Linked DNA regions of Anolis sagrei. The protein of the gene in region 2 purifies or fractionates together with the protein of the main gene of each other region. This does not show direct contact. Links are inferred from orthologs where the notes say so. Each region holds a gene or a part of one and is shown on either strand. Other genes may lie near its edges.

The links.
Region 1: the proteins of PSTPIP1 (region 2) and WAS purify together in Homo sapiens (affinity purification with western blotting; 3 studies listed by BioGRID and IntAct, with this or other methods). This does not show direct contact. The link is inferred for Anolis sagrei from reciprocal best matches to the Homo sapiens genes PSTPIP1 and WAS.

What each region holds. Positions count from the first base shown.
Region 1 is NC_090022.1:194,031,066-194,042,417, forward strand, and holds the start of WAS (actin nucleation-promoting factor WAS), read left to right. Parts: upstream 1-5,236; 5' UTR 5,237-5,510; coding exon 5,511-5,624; intron 5,625-11,352. UniProt on the Homo sapiens protein: Effector protein for Rho-type GTPases that regulates actin filament reorganization via its interaction with the Arp2/3 complex. Important for efficient actin polymerization. Possible regulator of lymphocyte and platelet function.
Region 2 is NC_090029.1:10,958,657-10,970,008, forward strand, and holds the start of PSTPIP1 (proline-serine-threonine phosphatase-interacting protein 1), read right to left. Parts: upstream 5,576-11,352; 5' UTR 5,149-5,575; coding exon 5,116-5,148; intron 1-5,115. Other genes in the region: RCN2 (reticulocalbin-2), read right to left, coding at 10,702-10,854. UniProt on the Homo sapiens protein: Involved in regulation of the actin cytoskeleton. May regulate WAS actin-bundling activity. Bridges the interaction between ABL1 and PTPN18 leading to ABL1 dephosphorylation.

The DNA.
Region 1 (11,352 bases), on a different chromosome or scaffold from region 2:
TACTAAAATGGCTTGGGTTGCTTTAACACACTGAAGGATCAAGTGAAGAGAATAGAGGAATTGGCACAGAGTCCCATCTTCAATAAGTTCCCTTTGCAAATCTGATCAGGATCTGTGCCAGCGTGACTTTCTAGGTTTGCAACCTTCCCAACTCTGGTACCCATTGGCTTCTCTTCTCTTTTTGCAACTCTAGTTCTTTAGTCTTGTTCTCTTGCCCCTTTTTATACCGATATCCCAAACTCGTCATGGCTTCCATATAGGTCGCTGTATTATTACCAGTACTATTGCATCAACACACCACCTAGTTTTCTCCAGCTGTTAAACATTCTTTGGCACTGTTGCAATAAGTCGTGATTTGTTAACTTAGAATGGTGGGTGTCCATTTTAAGTTATTGGAATTGGAAATATCCTTTGCCAAGTGCTAAAAATGTGTTGCTATTTCATTATAGTATGGCCTGTACAGCCGCAGTGGTCACCCCATATCTCCTGAAGCAAAGTCTGAGGCAGTCTGCTCCACTATCAAATAGCTCATACTTTCTGGAGGCCCTTCATAATGTTTAGTATTTCTCAATTGAACCAGTTAATTTGGCTTTTACCTTCTGGGGAAAAACAAAACCAAATTTTTAGTGATGGTGGGAGTTGTAGTCCCAACAGATATCTGGATGGTATGCATTACAGGATGAAAAGGGCTGTGTTAATCATGTCATATTAGTCATTATTCAGCAGCACAGCACACATTGCTTTTACTTGAAATGTTTCATAGTATACCTGTTTCTTGTTTGGGCCAAATTACTTGGTCTGCTAGCACAAGGTGGGCAGTGCACAGCCTTCAAAGTGATGGACCAGAGGTTCTTTCAATCCTTACTGGGATTGTCAATGCTGAGGGATTTCATGGATTGTAGGTCCAACAATATCCAAAGAACGCATATTGCTCACCCCAGGACTAGCAGCTTTGCTTTTTTATTTTATTATTATTATTTTGTCATGTCAGGAACAACTTGAGAAACTGCAAGTCGCTTCTCGTGTGAGAGAATTGGCCATCTGCAAGGATGTTGCCCAGGGGACGCCCGGATATTTTGATGTTTTACCATCCTTGTGGGAGGCTTCTCTCATGTCCCCGCATGGGGAGCTGGAGCTGATAAAGGGAGCTCATTCGCGCTCTCCCTAGATTCGAACCTACAACCTGTCAGTCTTCAGTCCTGCCGGCACAATGGTTTAACCCACTGCGCCATCAGGGGCTCCAGCAGCTTTGCTAAGTGTATTATATATGTATATTTGAAATGGCAAAAATATGAAGTTCTTTGGAACTCCAGAAATACATTGCATTTACATTTCTGCAATGGTTGCATCCTTCCCTAAAACTGTCAGTAGTCTGAATCGGATGGAAATCCTTGTTCACGTAATATGGTCCACCTTTTTACATTGGGACATATGCTGTGTTGTTCCTGCTCAATTCATCTGTTGTAGTAGCCCATCATGATGATGAGACAGTTAAATTGTTACATTGCATTATGATTGCTTTTCCAGTACTTTCTGTTGTTGTATAAAGGGGTGGGCAAATCCTCCAGATTGATAATAAAAGGGGACAAAACTTCAGCATGTCCTGTCAAAACACCTCTTCAAATACGGTAATTTAAAAATAATTGGAAACAGTTACCTTTGACAATAATATTTTGCTTTTGTTTTTGAAATGCTGGAAAAGTTAATTTGGAAAGTGATTTGTTTTGTTAAGTCATTACAGTGGCTAAAAAGTAACCCATTGCAATCACTCATCATTATATTATTCTATAATGTTGATGGAAAATTGCATTTCCTACTTTTCTCATTTCATTTCCAGTATTTTTTGTTACTTTATAAGGGGGAGGCGGCGAAACTCTCCTCACCAATAAGAGAGAAGCATAAAACTTCAAACCGTCCTGTCAAAATGCCTCTTGAAATGCGTTAACTTGAAAATAATTAGAAACTGTTACTTTTTACAACAATATTTTGCTTTTAGGGTTAAAACGTAATTTTGTTATATTCTTGATACATTGAGACAACTGATTATATTTAACAACCTTGCTTAATTGGTTACTTTCAGCTTTTGTGACAAATGTCTGGGGTGGCTCCTGTCTGTGTGGCCGACCCATCCAGGTTTACATTTCTCTTCATTTTCACAGGGTGTTTGTGTCTCACTACAATTCCTCTTCCTCACATGGTGTTTGGGTGACTGCAGGTTGCCATTACCCTTTTCCATTCTCTCTCTGGAAACCTCAGGATTTCTTCCCATAGAGACTTAACAGCTCTTGATTCTGGTTGGGGTCGGAGCAGGTTTCATGTTTAAGGGAGGAGGGAATCAGATTCAAAATGTGAAAATGGATGCAAGGACACGGTATTTGTTTAATTTTGGAATGCAATAAAACTGTTGACTTTCAGGAGAAACAATCATGCCATGGATAATGTCTTTTGTTTGTTTTTAATGCTTATAATACCATCAATCAGATGTATAGGAAAACAATATAATGTTGCTACAGCTCTTTTAATTACATATATGGCTATATGCTCAATTGTATGTAAATACTAGTGTATACAGTGTTCCCTCGCTATTTCGTAGTTTGCTTATCGCAGACTCGCTGTTTCGCGGGTTTTTCTTCAGTCCTCCCTCTTTTCCTCCAGCCTGTCTTCATTCCTTTTACTGTCTACATTGAGACCTGTCTCCATTCCTTTTAAGTTGAGACCTGTCTCCATATCTTTTACTTGCCCTTTCCATTCATTTCATTGGTGGCACTCTGACTCTGGCCCCTCCGCTTCTGCCTCTTTGCTGCTGCTGCTTCCTCCTCGTCCTCCTTCTCAAGCCCGACCCACAAGTGCTACAGCAAGCGGCCCATCAAGGCCACCACATCCTCCGGCCCCGGGTGAGCGCCAGGAAGGGAGGGAGGGAGGGAGAGACTCCAGTGGGGCCATGTTTCAAGAAGGAAGATGATTAGACACGCAATGAGGAAGCACACTGCACATGCTCAGGAAACCTTGGCACCACTTGAACTGAGGGAGAGAGGAGTGGGCGGAGTGTCCCTACTTTGCGGATTTTCACTTATTGCGGGTGGTCCTGGAATGTAACACTAGCAGTAAGTGAGGGAACACTGTATACCTGATGTTGCTTGAGCGTCGTTGGGACCACTGCTTACCTTCTTTCTCCCTTCTCCAGCTCTGATAAGGCCTTCTTTGCAACTTCTTCATGGCAACACTCAAGCAGTGGTAGGCAGGCTACCATTGTGCAGGCTACCATTTCCTTCCTCCCCCTCATACACATGTCAACTTCCTCTCTCAGAGACATCACAGGGGATCACCTAACCTAGCAACAGCCAGTCCAGTGAAATCATAGAGGGCCATTTCACCTAGCAACAGTCTTTGTTTTACAAGCATACATACTTCGACATGTGCGTGTGTGATAAGTGTTTGCTGCAATGTTTGCCAGAAAAACAGAAGGTGGGGGGAATGCTTCCTTGCATTGTGTCTTTTTATCCCAACCAATGAACACATTTAGTCTTCATTGGCTCTGTGTCTTATATGAGAGAGAAAGTTCTGTTTGTGAAAGAGAAAGTGTTCTTCACCATTTTTCCTTCCTAAGCCCATAGCCAGAAATACTGAGTTGGGCGTGATCCAAATATAATCAAGGGACCAAATTAAAAGTTAGTGAGATGCAATATTAGCAAATAAATTCATTCCTAAATAGGCTCACCATCCTCCTTGATTCATAGAGTTGGAAGAGACCATGTGGGCCATCCAGTCCAACCCCCCTGCCAAGAAGCAGGAAATTGCATTCAAAGCGCCCCTGAAAGTCATCCAGCATCTGTGTAAAAGCCTCCAAAGAAGGAGCCTCCAGCACACTCTGGAGCAGAGAGTTCCACTGATGAACAGATCTCACAGTTAGGAAGTTCTTCCTCATATTCAGGTGGAATCTCCTTTCCTGTAGTTTGAAGCCATTATTCTGTGGCCTAGTCTCCCGGGCAGCAGAAAACAAGCCTGCTCCTTCCTCTCTGTGAATTCCCTTCACATATTTTTACATGGCCCTCATCATGTCTCCTCTCAGCCTTCTCTTCTGCGGGCTAAATATTCTCCTGCATCTATTAAATAGGTACCTGGGCAGAACATACAAGCATGGGCATGCCAGTCTGATGAGGCCATGTACCAGTTCATTTCTAATCCAGGAAAGAATCCCAGAAGTATGTCTCTACTGCTAGTTTTCTATCTCAGTCTCATAGGCATGGACTCAATTTTACAACTTCCCACCTAATTAAACCTATTTTTGTGTTTGGGACACTTGCCTGTGCTGTTTTAAACACCAAAATCTCATTAAACCTCCAGAGTGCAAACAGCATAGTTTCAGGTTTTTTCTTAGGATTTTTGCATTGATTTTTTAATATCTTTTATGTGTGGACTTTGGCAAATGCATTTTTAAAAATAAAGAACCTTCCTTTTTCTCCCCCCTCTTTCCAAGATGGGAGGTGGCTCATCATAAAAACGTTAAGAAGTAACGACATACAAAAAGTCTGCCAGGAAGTTCATTCTAATTGAATTCAGCCAGTTAAGAATAATTCTTTTTGGGCAATGGCAGGACCAGATTCAAGAGCAGGAGAAAGTATTTTTTAATCCATAACACCAAGAATAGTCCACATCTTTGATGCTCACCTCATGTTTCTGCCCCAACTTTCATTCAAGATAACTTTGAATGAAAGAAAACAGGGCAAATAGGATTTGAAATCTGATCCTCAAAGCAACATTTGGAAGAGGATATATGTTAAAAGGCTGTGATCAAAGCTTTAGTGCTAGAAAAGCAGAGTGGTATTCTGGGCAACTACCACAAGGTTTTTGTGGTTGAATGTTCCCTTAACATTTGCTGTTTGTCATGCAACTAACACACACACTGCCATTCCATTGTAACTATTAGATGCAATTAGATGCAAATAGTTACCATTACCATTAGATGCAATGCTAATCCTTTCCATTGCATCTAATGAAGCAAACTTGAGTCCACAAAAGCTGGTTCTAGTATTTTTTTCTCTCTCTCAGTCTCAAAGATGCAACATGATACTTGGAAACTTTTGTATTCCCCTGCCAAGTCCAAGGTGGGTAGAAATCTTTAGTGCTGAGTTCAGAATAAACCCTGCCCTTAAAATATGTTTTTGGGAACTGAACAACAGTCATACCTATTTTCACAAGCTTCAAAAATATATGTACTGAATCTGAGGTGCCATAGGAGTGAACTCTGAGCTAATTGTTGTTTCTCAGAGCAGAATCATTTGTTTGAGGTGTCTCCTTCATTCTGGCCCACTCTCGGCCTGTTGGTAACTCAGCCATGCTCAGGAAGGACTTACTCCAGGACTCTCATGAAGCAAGATGGGGAGTCTCTTTCTCTCTTGTCTCTGTGGCCTGGTGGTTTCCGAACTTCCTGTTGTAAAGAGAAAAGGCCTTGCAAGACGGAAGTTCGCTCTGGGTGAGATCATCCAGAGTCGTCTTTAACGGGGCCCAAGATGAGCCGGAGGCCCAAACCAGGAGCCAGGACACAGCAGGAAAATACACCATCTAACCTGCTCCAGGACCATGAGAACCAACAAGTGTTTGAACTCCTGGGCAGGAAATGCACGGTAATTCTGGCTTTGTTCTCGGATAGAAAAACTGCAAACAGAATTCAGAAATCTGTCTGGGGCAGAGGGAGGAGCAGGGGGAGGTGGTCGACTGGATTTCTTGGACAAATTTGGGGGATCTAAGTGATTCGAGCATTCAGTCTGGCACAGGAGTAGAAGGACTCATGGTTATGGGCAAGTACCTTCCTTAGAGCAGTGGTTCTCAATCTTTCGAATGCCATGACCCCTTAATACAGTTCCTCATGTTGTGGTGACCCCCAACCATAAAATTATTTTCATTGCATTGTAATGGAAATATCTGATATGCAGAATGTATTTTCATTCACTGCACCAAATTTGGCACAAATACTCGATATGCCCAAATTTGAATATTGGTGGGGTTGGAGGGGGGATTGATTTTGTTATTTGGGAGTTGTGGTTGCTGGATTTTATAGTTAACCTATAATCAAAGAGCATTCTGAACACCAACTATGGAATCGAACCAGACTTGGCACACAGAACTCCCATGATCCCATGACCAACAGAAAATACTGGAAGGGTTTGTCGACATTGATCTTGAGTTTGGGAGTTGTAGTTCACCTACATCCAGAGGGCACTGTGTATTCAAACAGGTGGATCTGGACCAAACTAGGCACAAATACTCGATATGCCCAAATGTGAACACTGGTGGAGTTTGGGGAAAATAGATCTTGACATTTGGGAGTTGTAGTTGCTGGAATTCACCTACAACTTCCAAATGTCAAGGTTCGCCTACATTCAAAGAGCATTCAGAATTCCACCAATTATAGAACTGGGCCAAACTTTCCACACAGAACCCCCATTGCCAACAAAAAATGCTGTGTTTTCTGATGGTCTTTGGCGATCCCTTTGAAACCTCCCTCATGACCCTCCCAGGGTTCCCGACCCCCAGGTTGAGAAACACTGCCTTAGAGCCTGACTTTCCTGTCACTGTCAATCAGAGGATAAACAAGGAGATGTTAGAAAATGTGTTTGATCAGTAAGGGGGGGGGGGGGAGTTCAAATGCCGAGAGATACGATAGAATTTAACTCCCCAAAATGCATCAAGATCGTTGATCTTTTTGGAGGATCCTCTATGCAAAAAATAATGTTGCATCTTAACAAACCTGACAAGCAACTGTTTATTGGCTGCTAAAAAATTAGAAGAGGAAAATGGTAAAAGAAGTGGCACTGATGCTTTGTAAATTCATAAACCAGCACTTGATGGGAAATGGATCAAATTGAAAAATCTATAGGGAACAATGACAATCAGCAGAGTCCAGACTTCATTGTTTTGCCTAGAATATGGCTTGCTAAAATAATAGATGATTTTGTAAAATACAGTTTTGTTGTTTCAAGCAATAGTTAAGTTCTGACATTTGTTTGCCTGGGCACATGATCTATTCAGCTCCTGCAAAATACTTTCTCCTCAAATGCATGGAGGCCATGTTCACCCAGCTTAAAAAAATTGGAACGTGTTGGGTGGCTGGGGACTTGTGGTAAGGATTAATGTGGCCTTTCGTAGGCACAGTCTCTCCCACGAATAGGTCTTCCCCCACCATTTCTCATCTGCAGACAACCCCTGCCTTTCTTTCTTGTTCAGATATCTCAGGTTCCTTCCACACAGCTGAATAGAACCCCACATTATCTGCTTTGAACTGGAATTTATGGCAGGGTGGACTCAGATAACCCAGTTCCAAACAGATATTGTGGGATTTTCTGCCTTGATATTCTGGATTATATGGCTGTGTGGAAGGGCCCTCAGATAACCCAGCTCAAACCAGATATTGTGGGATTTTTCTGGGTTATATGGCTGTGTCGAAAGGCCCTCAGCCTCTACATTTCTCTAATCTGGTGCCTTCAAGATGTGTGATTTCCTATCATGCCAACATGCTGGTAGCAAATAAAGGGATTTATTGACCAGTGCCTTTAGTGAGCAACTGGCTGGAGGAGACATTTCCATATTTAAGGTACTCACTGTCTTGCAATAGTTTGGAAATAAAATTAAAGCCAATCCACTGGGCAAGAAGCCAAGTACATCTTCACAAGAATGAAGGTTTTTGTTATGTTTTGTTGGTCTTCGCATTTTTACTTCATCTTCCATGAATAGAAGTGACCGGAGAAGTTCGACAGTGAAACAACAACGATGCAGAAGGAAAGAATTCTAGAGCTGTCTGTTGTTTCTGTAAACTGCCTTGTCTTCAGGAAATGGAGAGAGAAAAACCACTTCCTCAGTGTGGTGGTGGTGGATCCGGCAATGATGACATATAGCGGGTCTAGAAGTGGGAGAGAGGGCGAGTCATTACCATCAAAATAGGCCCTTTCAGAGTTCAGAAATACACAAGGGTAATATCCTTTAGTAGAAAAAATGTATGCAGTCTATTCTTGTTCGATAATGGTGTACACTTTATTTTGAGACCATGCCTACTTGTAAACCAGTTCCACCATCAAGACGTTGAAGATGGTAGTTTCTGAGCGGGTTAATAGCTATTTAGAGGTTGTTAGCCTACTGAGTGGTTAAATCTTCTACAGCATGCCCATATTTTAAAGAACACTGTTCTTTTTTCATTGCAAAAAAAAAAATCTAAAAATATCAACCGTTTCCAAAATATCATGTAAAATATATATAATCTCTGCTCCAAATCGTAAGTTCATATAATGCACTCACTTATTTGAATCTGTTTAAAATTAAGTACAATTTTCTTGAGTGGGGATTGTTAACTGCCATCTGATTGACTTTGACGTATGGTGACCATGTACTGTATTTCACCGCATAATAATTGCATTTCCCTTCACAAAGAGGGCATGCAATTATGTGGTGACACATTAGGCCTACTGGGTTTCCCGTGGTCGGCAGCCAAAGAGGTCTCCTAGCTCTTCGCCATCACCTGCCTGTGAGTTTGCCCCTCAAATCTTTGGGGGCTGCTGTAAGGGGCAAGCGCAAGGACAGGGGTGCAACCAGTATGCGAGGAATCCTTAAATCCCCAAATTATTTTGGAAAATGGCATTTATAACCTTTTGGGAAAACACCTTTTGGAGAGCATTACTTTTAGAAAAGCATGACCTTTCAGAGAAGAGTATTTTGTACAACAGGCCAACATAACATTTCAATTTTTCCAAAAAGTAACAAAAACTACTACTGTACTTTTGTTTACATCTAAATGGAGGGAAAGAACAATGTTACTTTGTAAAACTGCAACTAGAATCCTAATGATCTTATAGGGTCTAGGTTTGTAACTTTTAACTACTATAAATATTTTTGAAGTTACCCGTCATCTTGTGAACTTGTTCGGTATCGCTCTGTAGGGTGACCAGATGCAAAAGAGGACCGTATATGTACAGAATTTTGGCAAGCATAGGTTTCTTCATAATGAAGGCAAATATCTTTCCTATGTTCTGGTCTTTCCAAATGGTAATTAAAGGCATAGGAGCCTTCCTGTCTGCTCCATTTAATTACTAGCCTCCACCCAGTTTTCAACACCCAAGACCTCAACATTTTGGCTTTTCTTTCATGATAGGCTTTTCAGGTCAGAAAACGGGGAAGAGTCCAGGGGCTTTTCACACAATGTAATTATGGCACTATTGCTCCACTTGAACTGCAATGGCAATATCCTATGGAATTTTGTGATTGACAATTGAGGGAAGGATTTTTAAAATCTGTAGCCTGGAAGCTTGCCAAGCGCTTCTCACTAAACTACAAATCCAAGGATTCCATAGGAGGTTGACACAGTAATTAAATAATAATAATAATAATAATAATAATAATAATAATAATAATATCAACTTTATTTATATTCTGCCCTTCTCACCCCGAAGGGGACTCAGGGTGGATCACAGTACACATACACAGCAAACATTCTATGCCATTTTGTATAGACAATACAGAAGGAGGTGTGTTGGTCCAGCTTTTGGTGCCATGCTTTCAATGTCCAGCTTTTGGTGCCATGGAAGGTTGGGCTTGAATCCAGATACAGGGGGTGCTGTCGCTCCATCCTCTATGACAAAGAGCCACTTCCTCCTTCCTTTTGCTCGCCCAGCATTTTCTGATCTTCTTTCTTTATGGCATTGTGAAACACCTTCCCCGCTTTTAGCGATACCTAATTTCTCTAATTACCTGGCTATTCCGATGCGCCTTTCCAGAATAGGAATCTCCAATAACAAGTCCCAGAAGCACTTAAGTAGAACTAAGATTGCTGCACACTGCACACTGCACTTGCCCTACAATCCTCACATACCACCTATCACATCAGCACTTTTAATCCTGTACCCCTTACTCTGGCCTGGCCCAGTTTTCATAGTGTCTTGATGTATTGTTTATTGCATGTCGTTAATACTGCTTTAACTGTTTTTAATTTTGCTTTAGGTGTTGTATTGTTGTGTTGTGTTTTGAGGCCTTGGCCTTTGTAAGCCGCATCGAGTCCTTCGGGAGATGCTAGCAGGGTACAAATAAAGTTAATAATAATAAATAATAATAATAATTACAGGTAAAGCTGTTTTTGAACTGCTTAGGTCAATAGTAAGCTGGTCTGACAGTCAGCAGCTCACACTGACCCAGGGCTTCGAACTTGCAACCTTTCGGTTGATAGATCTTATAATTGCTGGTGACTTACCAGCTGTGCTAAACCACTGGCCCACAGTGGTATAACTGTGCAGCGTGGAAGGATTCCCAGAGCAGCAGATCATCTCTATAGAGTGATGATTCTATGGGACATTATTAGGAAAGGTATGAAACAGAGACTCTACTTGTACCCTGACAGTCAAGATAGTCACACTGGGCTTCATTTTAACCTCTAATGCCATCCCTAAAGTAGTCTTAAAAATAGAAAGCACCTAAAAACAAAAACTTTAGCTAGTCAGAATACCCCTAAGGTTGTGTTTTGTGGACTTCAGAAATTAGTCTATGTTCCAGCTATATATGTTAATCTTCTTTGGCATATTGCTTCAAGCAGCTCAGTTTTCTACAACATAAATGTGGCATGTTTAATTCTCATCCAGACTTCTCATTCTTCAACATTTGCTCTTCTCTAGTTCTCATAATAAGAGCAAGAAATCTTAGGGTGAGACCACTGCCTTGAAAAATGGTGCTTGTGATGTGTATATATGCCTTCCTCATTTGGTGGTCTTTGTGGTTTTTTAAATTTTATTTTGAGGGTGCAGGATTTGCATCTGTAGCTGATGTATAATAATATTACCAGTGATGTCTCCTGGAAAATAATCCTTGTAATATTTTTTTAACAATCATCCTTGCAATATTTATTATTGCACATTATTGCTCAGCTTTAAGTTCTATCATCGGAGTATTCCCCCCTCTCCCGTGGGAAAGCCTGCTTTCACAACCCTCCCCCCCATAACAAGCTCTCCTCTGCAAATTACCTACTTCCTTCTCTTATCTCGCCCGAGTTTTAATTAACTAGTTTTAATTCTGTTTGTCTTTTAATCATTACATGTAACCCACCCATTGTTATTGTGCTTGTGCTTATTGTAATTTTTATATTGTATGCATATGTTTTATGTTAATATGATGTTATTGTAATCTCATTAGCGTCTCATAGGTAGAATCAATCCAATCGGGCGGCAGCCAGATTACTAACCGGGGCGACATACAGGGAGCATACCACCCCCCTGTTGTGCCAGCTCCTCTGGCTGCCAGTCCATCTCCGAGCCCAATTCAAAGTGCTGGTTTTGACCTATAAAGCTCTATACGGTTCTGGCCCAGCTTACTTGTCGGAAC
Region 2 (11,352 bases):
AATTAAGAGATTAAACAGCTAATTAGTCGACCTGGTTCTGTTCTGGGTTAATTCTGCATCTTGTTTCCAAAATGGCATGAAACAGAGGACAAGGTCTTGACTTGATTCCAAACGATGCTTCATCTGGCTACATATCCTGTACTTGGGACTTTTATCTCCTCGTTAGCTATGTCTCTAGCGCTCAGAAATTGGTTTCGCTTTAGCTGAGAATTTCTTATCTTTTTCTCTCGGAGCCTGGCAGAACGCCGAAGCCACTGTTCGGCTCTCCTGTTTGGACTGATCTGCTTCCGTCTATCTATTTGCTCATTAACTTCTTCAGCTGGGCCAGGTGCCGAGCTATTTTCATCATCATCCCCACACCCCTCAGGGACATTAAATGCAAGAAATCATGAACCCAAGGCATGAATATAAAAGCATAGAATCCAAGAATCAAAACCATGAAACAAAGGCACTTAAAACATGAATTTTCCAAGCAAAGCTTCCATGAAACAAAGACGAGATCTTGACTTGATTCCAAACGAATCCCATATCCTGTACTTGGGACTTTTATCTCCTCATTACGCTATGCCTCTAGCGCTCAAAAATTGGTTTCGCTTCAACTGAGAAGTTCTTATCTTTTTCTCTCAAAGCCTGGCAGAACACCGAAGCCACTGTTCGGCTCTCCTGTTTTGACTGATCTCCTCTCATCTATCTATTTGCTCATTATCTATTTGCTCATTAATTTCTGCAGCTGGGCCAGGTGCTGAGCTATTTTCATGTTCCCTATCATGGGAACTCTTCGGTAACAATCCAGAAAACACACTATCATCCCCACACCCCTCAGGGACATTATCATGGGAAACTACACTTTGCACAGGGATCTCCTGGTCATTCTCTGCATCAACATCACTGGCCAAACCGCTACCATTTTGAAACTCATCTTGCAACTCATTGACATCATTCCCCACATCCAAAGCACCCTGATCCTGGAACACAATCACAGGCTGAGCTCCAATAGGAAAATTGCATTCAAAGCCCTCCCCGCTCCCGACAGATGGCCACCCATCCTCTGCTTAAAAGCCTCCTAAGAAGGAGCCTCCACCACACTCCAGAGCAGAGAGTTCCACTACTGAACAGCTCTCGCAGTCATAAAAATTGAGCATGGAAACACCTAGAAACGTATCGAAGGCCTATGATGCTCTCCTATCAATGCGATGCTACTTAACTTAAGAAGGGAATGTTTGGAAATGAACGAACACTGATCACAATGGTTTGTGCTTATTTAACCAGTATAGGATGGTTTGCAAGCTAAAGTGGGGATAAAGAAGCTCGAGGTTTTTAGTCCTGCTGCCTTACTAAACTCAGAGTGGTGCGGGCCAGGCATGGTTAGGTACAGTCGGAATATTCATAATTCGGAATAAAATTGGAAAAATAATCTTTTCAGAGCGATTTTGAAGTTTTTAAGAAAACCAGAAGTCCCTTTGCCCTTCCGATCCTTTTCCCACCATTTTTGTTACAATTCCTGAAGTGAGTCAGAAATTATTCAGCTTTTCTCCACTTCTGGTCCCTGGCCTCAGCTCAAGCCAGAGATACCAGTTTTAAAGCCAGAGAAGCCAGTTTTAAAGCCAGAGAAGCCAGTTTTAAACAGGAAAAGGAAGGAATTTCCTGGCCTCAGCTCAAGCCAGAGAAGCCAGTTTTAAAGCCAGAGAAGGCAGTTTTAAATTGGGAAAGGAAGGAACTTCCTGGCCTTGGCTCAAGCCAGAAAAGCCAGCTTTAAAGCCAGAGAAGCCAGTTTTAAACCAAAAAAGGAAAGAATTTCCTGGTCTCAGCTCAAGTCAGAGAAGCCAGTTTTAAACCAGAAAAGGAAAGAATTTCCTGGCCTCGGCTCAAGCTAGAGAAGGCAGTTTTAAAGCCAGAGAAGCCAGTTTTAAACCAGAAAAGGAAAGAATTTCCTGGTCTCAGCTCAAGTCAGAGAAGCCAGTTTTAAACAAGAAAAGGAAAAAATTTCCTGGCCTCGGCTCAAGTCAGAGAAGCCAGTTTTAAACCAGAAAAGGAAAGAATTTCCTGGCCTCGGCTCAAGCCAGAGAAGCCAGTTTTAAAGCCAGAGAAGCCAGGTTTAAACCAGAGAAGGAAGGAATTTCCTGGCCTCAGCTCAAGCCAGAGAAGCCAGTTTTAAAGCCAGAGAAGCCAGTTTTAAAAACAGAGAAGCCAGTTTTAAACCAGAAAAGGAAAGAATTTCCTGGCCTTGGATCAAGCCAGAGAAGCCAGTTTTGCAGCCAGAGAAGCAGTTTTAAACCAGAAAAGGAAAGAATTTCCTCTGCTTGCTTTTCCCTGCTTCTGGAGTAAAACAACTACTTTCAAAGTAAAGACCACCTAATGAAACAGGAAATAACACTTTCAAACTATTAATGAAAGGATTCGAAAGTCTTGGAAGTTTCGAAAAGCTTTGAACATATTTTTTTCTGTGAAAATCAGAATTGACTTTAGAATCGAACCACCAGCGCCCCTACATCCGAAACGAGTTTTGAACCATTTTTTTGGATCAGCCAAGCCTAGTGCAGGCTGCATCTGTATTATAGAATTAATGCAGTTTGACGCCACTTTTGAAATAAGAGCATTGCATTCAGTCCAAATTGGGTGGAAAGCACTACCAGCTGTGAGACAAACCACTGCCTTTGTTCCTGGAAGGGCTTTGGTTGGAAAAAGAGAAGTTCTCAATTAACCGCAGAAGGAACAGAGGAAATATAACACGCCAAGACCCTGCCGAACTGCAACTCCCAGGATCCCATCGCATTGAGCCATTGCAATTAAACTGTATTCGTTTTGCAGTGCAAATGCACCCAAAAAGTACCCCAAAAAGGCCCTCCAATGATACCCTAAGAAGAGTGAGATTCTCTTAGGAGCAGATCAGGTTCTCCTTTAGGAAAATAATAAGTTGAAAGAAAAACCCAACGATTCCACTCATTGGAAGTTACAAAGAGCCGCAAGCCAAACCTACTATTGCCTTTGCCATTCCCAGCACGGAGACGAACCCAGCAGAGAAGGATCCAGCTTGAAGTTGCTGCAAAAAATGTGAATTTCTGCCTTCGGATGCATCATCCCAACCATTACGCTCCGACTGATTCACCCGTTTCACACCAGATTAAGCCCAATGTCAGATTTTCCCAGGGAAATATCATTGTGTCTTGGAATAGGAAGCGGCGTTAGTCTGAATCAGGCATTTTGATGGTGCATCTACACCAGGCATGAGCAAACTTGGGCCCTCCAGGTGTTTTGGACTACAACTCCCACCATTCCTAACCACCTCAGGCCCCCTCCTTTTCACCCTCAGCCGCTTAAGCGTTCAGTTCTAGCAAGTCGAAAGAAATTATTATATAGTAAATAGTTGAGTGTACTCAATGTTCAGTTCTACCAAGCCGAAAAAAATTATAATTATTATATAGAAAATAGTTGAGTGTACTCAACGCTCGGTTCTACCAAGCCGATAATAATAATAATAATAATAATTATTATTATTATTATTATTATTATATAGTAAATAGTTGAGTGCACTCATTGTTCAGTTCTACCAAGCTGATAATAATAATTATTATAATAATAATATAGTAAATAGATGAGTGCACTCAATGTTCAGTTCTACCAAGCCAATAATAATAATAATAATAATTATTATTATTATTATTTTAATATAGTAAATAGTTGAGTGCACTCAATGTTTGTTTATTTATTTACTTTATTTATATACCGCTTTTCTCAGCCCTCAGGTGACTCAAAGCAAATGTTCAGTTCTACCAAGCTGAAAATAATAATAATAATATAGTAAATAGTTTAGTGTACTCAAAGTTCAGTTCTACCAAGCCAATAATAATAATAATAATAATAATAATAATAGGCTTGGTAGAACTGAACTTTGAGTACACTAAACTATTTACTATATAATAATAATAATAATAATAATTATTATTATTATTATTATTATTATTATTATTATTTTCAGCTTGGTAGAACTGAACATTCGCTTTGAGTCACCTGAGGGCTGAGAAAAGCGGTATAGTAGTAAATAATTTGAGTGCACTCAATGTTCAGTTCTACCAAGCCAATAATAATAATAATAATAATAATTATTATTATTATTATTATTATTATATAATCAATAGTAGAGTGCACTCAATGTTCAGTTCTACCAAGCCAATAATAATAATAATAATAATAATAATAATAATAATAATAGGCTTGGTAGAACTGAACTTTGAGTACACTAAACTATTTACTATATAATAATAATAATTATTATTATTATTATTATTTTCAGCTTGGTAGAACTGAACATTGAGTGTACTCAGTTATTTACTATATAATAATTTTTTTTCTTGGCTTGGTAGAACTGGGGTGCACTCAGCTATTTACTATATAATAATAATAATAATAATAATAATTATTATTATTATTATTGGCTTGGTAGAACTGAACACTGAGTGCACTCAATTATTTACTACTATACTGCTTTTCTCAGCCCTCAGGTGACTCAAAGCGAATGTTCAGTTCTACCAAGCCGAAAATAATAATAATAATAATTATTATTATAATTATGTAGTAAATAGTTGAGTGCACTCCAGTTCTACCAAGCCAAGAAAAAAATTATTATATAGTAAATAACTGAGTACACTCAATGTTCAGTTTACCAAGCCAATAATAATAATAATAATATAATCAATAGTTGAGTGCACTCAATGTTCAGTTCTACCAAGCCAATAATAATAATAATAATAATTATTATTATTATTATTATTATTATATAATCAATAGTTGAGTGCACTCAATGTTCAGTTCTACCAAGCCGAGAAAAAAAAAGTAAATAACTGAGTGCACTCAATGTTCAGTTCTACCAAGTTGAAAGAAATTATTATTATATAGTAAATAGTTGAATGTACTCAATGTTCAGTTCTACCGAGCCAAAATAATAATAGTAATAGTAGTAATAATAATAGTAGTAGCCAGTTTATACAGTAAATAGTTCATTGCACTCAATGTTGAGTGCGACTCAACCAAAATAATTGTGGCGACAGGTGCCAGGCACTTATTAGACATAATAAAAGTGTTGCGTCTTCTTCTCGATGGCAAGGCATGGGCGCTTACCCAAAAGACATCCTTAAACTGCAGGTGTGCCATGACGAGGAAGGCAGTCCAAAACGGTGCCAAAGGCGTCCGAATAACAGGCACTTTGTTCCAAGCCGAAAAGGAAAATTTTCTTCTTCTTGACAAAGTGCAAAAACGGTTCCCTGGGAGGAAGTTTGTGGCGACGTTTATGTCTCCGAAGGGGGGAGCAGACGACACCCCAAAAGCCTCACCCGCGAGGTCTTCTTTTCCTCTTGCGTTCCACTTTTCGCTCCACCCCTCTTCTTTTCATTTCTGGCAAGCGACGAATATATATATATAATAACGCAATGAGGAAGCCGAAAGAGAAAAAAAAGTTGTCAGTATGCAAAGCAGAGGCTTTTGTGTTTTGTGGGTTACCTTTTAGAAAGTACAGAAAAAGAGAGACACACAACGACAAACGGTTGGAACAAAACCAAACTTGGATTTTGGACCAAAATCTTGGTCCTTGTGTTGTTTATATATTTTTGCCTATCTTATATATGTATATATATGTATGTATGTATATATTGCTAGGCCCAAATCATGTACACACAGGAAGCGGAGCTGCGGTCTTGCCGGCTCAGCGATTGCTGCAAGAACGGAAGGGTTTTCCAACCTCGAAACAGAGGAAATGCATCATTTTTTGCAAATGCACCGGGCTGACATTGAACTGAACATGAATGGAACGAGAAGGGAGCGCACTGCACCACCGGAATACTAATGTGAGCAAAGGCGCACAACAACTAGCACAATGGAGGCCTTGCTTTGGGAGGCCTCGGGCCAGAAATGTTGACATTCAGAGCATGGGATCCCAAGCAGGCTGCGGCCTCCAATGTCTTGGCTCGCTTGAAGCCGCGGGTGATGATGAGCAGTGAAGCTGCAATTCAACGTACATTAATGCGGGTTGATGCCACTTTGGACTGCCGTGGCACAAAGCTACAAAATCCTGGGAGTTGTCCTTGGGGGCCGCATTAACACTCTATCCCAGAGAAGATGAAAGCCCTTGCAAAACTACATCTCCCAGGATCTGACAGCATTGAGAGTGGGAGATGACAAAGGGTTTAATTCTAGTACAGATGGAAGAGGAGCAACAAGCCTCTGTGCTGCTGTCTCTCCTTCCTCCGTTTCCCTCATATACCTCTTCTTTCTTTCCTATCTCTTCCCTTCCTTCCTTCCTTCCTTCCTTCCTTCCTTCCTTCCTTCCTTCCTTCCTTCCTTCCTTCCTCCTTTCTCTTTCCTTCCTCCCCCTTTTTTCTTCCTTCCATCCCTTTTTCTTTCCTTTCTTCCTCCCTCCCTTCACCTCGTATACATATGTCGTATTTCTTTCCCGGTGACTTCACAGAGGGCCACTTCACCTAGCAACAGCTGATCCAGTGATCTCAGAGGGCCACACTAGCCATTCCAGTGGCCTCATAGAAGGTCACTCCACCTAGCAACAGCCGATCCAGTGGCCTCACAAAGGGCCGTTTCACCTATCAACAGCTGAACCAGTAGCCTCACAGAGGGCCACTCAAGCCGATGCAGTGGCATCACAGAGGGCAACTTCACCTAGCAACAGCTGATCCAGTAACCTCATGGAGGGCCACTCTAGCTGATCCAGTAGCCTCAAAAAGGACCACTTCACATAGCAACAGCTAATCCAGTGGCCTCACAGAGGGCTACTTCACTTAGCAATAGCTGATCCAATGGCCTCACAGAGGGCCACTCTAGCTGATGCAGTGGCCTCAAAAAGGGCCACTTCACCTAGCAACAGCTGATCCAGCGACCTCACAGAGGGCCACTTTACTTATCAACAGCCAATCCAGCAACCTCACAGAGGGCCACACTAGCTGATGCAGTGGCCTCCAAAAGGGCCACTTCACCTAGCAACAGCTAATCCAGTGGTTTCACAGAGGGTCACTCTGATGCAGTGGCCTCAAAAATGGCCACTTCACCTAGCAGCAGCCGATCCAACGACCTCACAGAGGGCCATTCTAGCCAATCCAGTGGCCTCACAGAGGACCACTTCACCTAGCAACAGCTGATCCAGTGGCCTCACAGAGGGCCACTCTAGCTGATGCAGTGGTCTCAAAAAGGGCCACTTCACCTAGTAACAGCCAATCCAATGACCTCATGGTGGGCCATTCTAGCTGATGCAGTGGCCTCAAAAAGGGCCACTTCACCTAGTAACAGCCAATCCAATGACCTCATGGTGGGCCATTCTAGCTGATGCAGTGGCCTCAAAAAGGGCCACTTCACCTAGTAACAGCCAATCCAATGACCTCATGGTGGGCCATTCTAGCTGATGCAGTGGCCTCAAAAAGGGCCACTTCACCTAGCAACAGCTGATCCAGTGGCCTCACAGAGGGCCACTCTAGCTGATGCAGTGGCCTCAAAAAGGGCCACTTCACCTAGCAACAGCCGATCTAGCGACCTCACGGAGGGCCACTCTGATGCAGTGGCCTCAAAAAGGGCCACTTCACCTAGTAACAGCCAATGACCTCACAGAGGGCCACTCTAGCTGATGCAGTGGCCTCAAAAAGGGCCACCATCTAGCAACAGCCGATCCAATGGCTTCAGAGGGCCCACTTCATCTAGCAACAGCTGATCCAACGACCTCATGGAGGGCCACTTTGATGCCGTGGCCTCAAAAAGGGCCACTTCACCTAGTAACAGCAATGACCTCACGGAGGGCCACTCTAGCTGATGCAGTGGCCTCAAAAAGGGCCACTTCACCTAGCAACAGCCAATACAGCGACCTCATGGAGGGCCACTCTGATGAAGTGGCCTCAAAAAGGGCCACTTCACCTAGTAACAGCCAATGACCTCACAGAGGGCCACTCTAGCCGATCCAGTGGCCTCACAGAGGACCACTTCACCTAGCAACAGCCGATCCAGCGACCTCACGGAGGGCCACTCTAGCTGATGCAGTGGCCTCAAAAAGGGCCACTTCACCTAGCAACAGCCCATCCAGCGACCTCACGGAGGGCCACTCTGATGCAGTGGCCTCAAAAAGGGCCACTTCACCTAGCAACAGCCCATCCAGCGACCTCACGGAGGGCCACTCTAATGCAGTGGCCTCAAAAAGGGCCACTTCACCTAGTAACAGCCAATGACCTCACGGAGGGCCACTCTAGCTGATGCAGTGGCCTCAAAAAGGGCCACTTCACCTAGCAACAGCCGATCCAGCGACCTCAGAGGGCCACACTAGCTGATGCAGTGGCCTCCAAAAGGGCCACTTCACCTAGCAACAGCCCATCCAGCGACCTCACGGAGGGCCACTCTAATGCAGTGGCCTCAAAAAGGGCCACTTCACCTAGCAACAGCTGATCCAGTGGCCTCACAGAGGGCCACTCTAGCTGATGCAGTGGCCTCAAAAAGGGCCACTTCACCTAGCAACAGCCGATCTAGCGACCTCACGGAGGGCCACTCTGATGCAGTGGCCTCAAAAAGGGCCACTTCACCTAGTAACAGCCAATGACCTCACAGAGGGCCACTCTAGCTGATGCAGTGGCCTCAAAAAGGGCCACCATCTAGCAACAGCCGATCCAATGGCTTCAGAGGGCCCACTTCATCTAGCAACAGCTGATCCAACGACCTCATGGAGGGCCACTTTGATGCCGTGGCCTCAAAAAGGGCCACTTCACCTAGTAACAGCAATGACCTCACGGAGGGCCACTCTAGCTGATGCAGTGGCCTCAAAAAGGGCCACTTCACCTAGCAACAGCCAATACAGCGACCTCATGGAGGGCCACTCTGATGAAGTGGCCTCAAAAAGGGCCACTTCACCTAGTAACAGCCAATGACCTCACAGAGGGCCACTCTAGCCGATCCAGTGGCCTCACAGAGGACCACTTCACCTAGCAACAGCCGATCCAGCGACCTCACGGAGGGCCACTCTAGCTGATGCAGTGGCCTCAAAAAGGGCCACTTCACCTAGCAACAGCCCATCCAGCGACCTCACGGAGGGCCACTCTGATGCAGTGGCCTCAAAAAGGGCCACTTCACCTAGCAACAGCCCATCCAGCGACCTCACGGAGGGCCACTCTAATGCAGTGGCCTCAAAAAGGGCCACTTCACCTAGTAACAGCCAATGACCTCACGGAGGGCCACTCTAGCTGATGCAGTGGCCTCAAAAAGGGCCACTTCACCTAGCAACAGCCGATCCAGCGACCTCAGAGGGCCACACTAGCTGATGCAGTGGCCTCCAAAAGGGCCACTTCACCTAGCAACAGCCCATCCAGCGACCTCACGGAGGGCCACTCTAATGCAGTGGCCTCAAAAAGGGCCACTTCACCTAGTAACAGCCAATGACCTCACGGAGGGCCACTCTAGCTGATGCAGTGGCCTCAAAAAGGGCCACTTCACCTAGCAACAGCCGATCCAGCGACCTCAGAGGGCCACACTAGCTGATGCAGTGGCCTCCAAAAGGGCCACTTCACCTAGCAACAGCCCATCCAGCGACCTCACGGAGGGCCACTCTGATGCAGTGGCCTCAAAAAGGGCCACTTCACTTAGCAACAGCCAATCCAACGACCTCACAGAGGGCCACTCTAGCCAATCCAGTGGCCTCACAGAGGACCACTTCACCTAGCAACAGCTGATCCAGTGGCCTCACAGAGGGCCACTCTAGCTGATGCAGTCGCCTCAAAAAGGGCCACTTCACCTAGCAACAGCCCATCCAGCGACCTCACGGAGGGCCACTCTGATGCAGTGGCCTCAAAAAGGGCCACTTCACCTAGTAACAGCCAATGACCTCACGGAGGGCCACTCTAGCCAATCCAGTGGCCTCACAGAGGACTACTTTACCTTTCAACAACCGATCCAGTGGCCTCACAGAGGGCCACCTCACCTAGCAGCAGTTGATCCAGTGACCTCAGAAGGCCACTTCAGCCAACCCATTGGCCTCAGAGGGCCACTTCACCTAGCAACAGTCTTTGTGGTATAAACAGACGATCACACATACATACATAGACATATCAAACGATAGATTGTTCTTGTGGGCTTTTCGTTTTGCAGACCTTTCTAAACAGTATTTACTGATGTCCCATAAACAAAAAGGAAAGCTGGAAGTTCAAGAACATTTTGAAAAATTCACACCAGAAATGACACTTGTGAAGGTTTTAATTGGAGTGTTTTGTCGCGGGTAGTGTTCTGACCTAAAATATACCTGCTAAAGGTTCGAAAATAACCATCAGGCTGCAAAAATACCATTTCTGGGTCGTATAAACACCCACAAACTGAAAGTTCATTATAAACAGAAAACCTTAAAAAGTAAGGAAAAGCCCCGGTCCTCCTCGAGGCAGAAGGACGACGACAAACGGAAAAACCCAGCCAAGGCTTCCACCTTCCCCAAATCGAATACTGAACTAGTGGTGATGGGTTTGCACTATCACAAGTCGAACCTTGGCGTTTTCAAGTAAGTTTCCGAAAAAGCAAAAATCAGTTTCCATTCAAGAGTCAAGCTTTGGAGTCCCGAAATGATAAAGGCGAGGGGCGATGCGCAAAGACATTCGGGAATGAAAACCAGTGTGTGCGTATCTATCGATATATTTTACATTCGCACACGATTCATATGGTTGCGTTATATGCAGAGTCTCTTGGGAATTACAGTTCTTCGTGGTAGAAGCGCTCGTCCTGCAGCTGCCGGCCGTAATCCGTGGCCTCGCTGTTGAGGAAGAGATCCTGGTTTGCAAGGATTTCCACCTCCGTCAGTCTTTGGTCCCCATCCTGGTCCATTTCCTCAATGAGGTGGGAGGCCTGGGAAAGGAAAGATTAATGTTATGTAGCTTGTCAATGCGCTGTCATTTCGCAAATTTAGCCTAATATCCACACTTACACCAGAAGCGACTTGCAGTTTCTCAAGTCGCTCCTGACACGACCAAAAAAACAAACAACCCCTCCCCCCCAAAAGGAGCAGATGAGGGTTCAAAGTGCTGAAAGTGTTTCTCAACTTTGAGGTCAGGACCCTGGGGGGGGGGGTCCACAAGGGGGGTGTCAGAGGAGTCACCAAAGACCATCAGAAAACACAGTATTTTCTGTTCATCATGGGGGTTGTGTGTGGGAAGTCTGGCCCAATTCTCTCGTTAGTGGAGTTCAGAATGCGCTTTGACTGTAGGTGAACTATAAATCCCAGAAACTCCAACTCCCAAATGTCAATGTCTATTTTCCCCAAACTCCACCAGTGTTCACATTTGGGTATACTGAGTATGTGTACCAAGTTTGGTCCAGATCCATCATTTTTTAGTCCACAGTGCC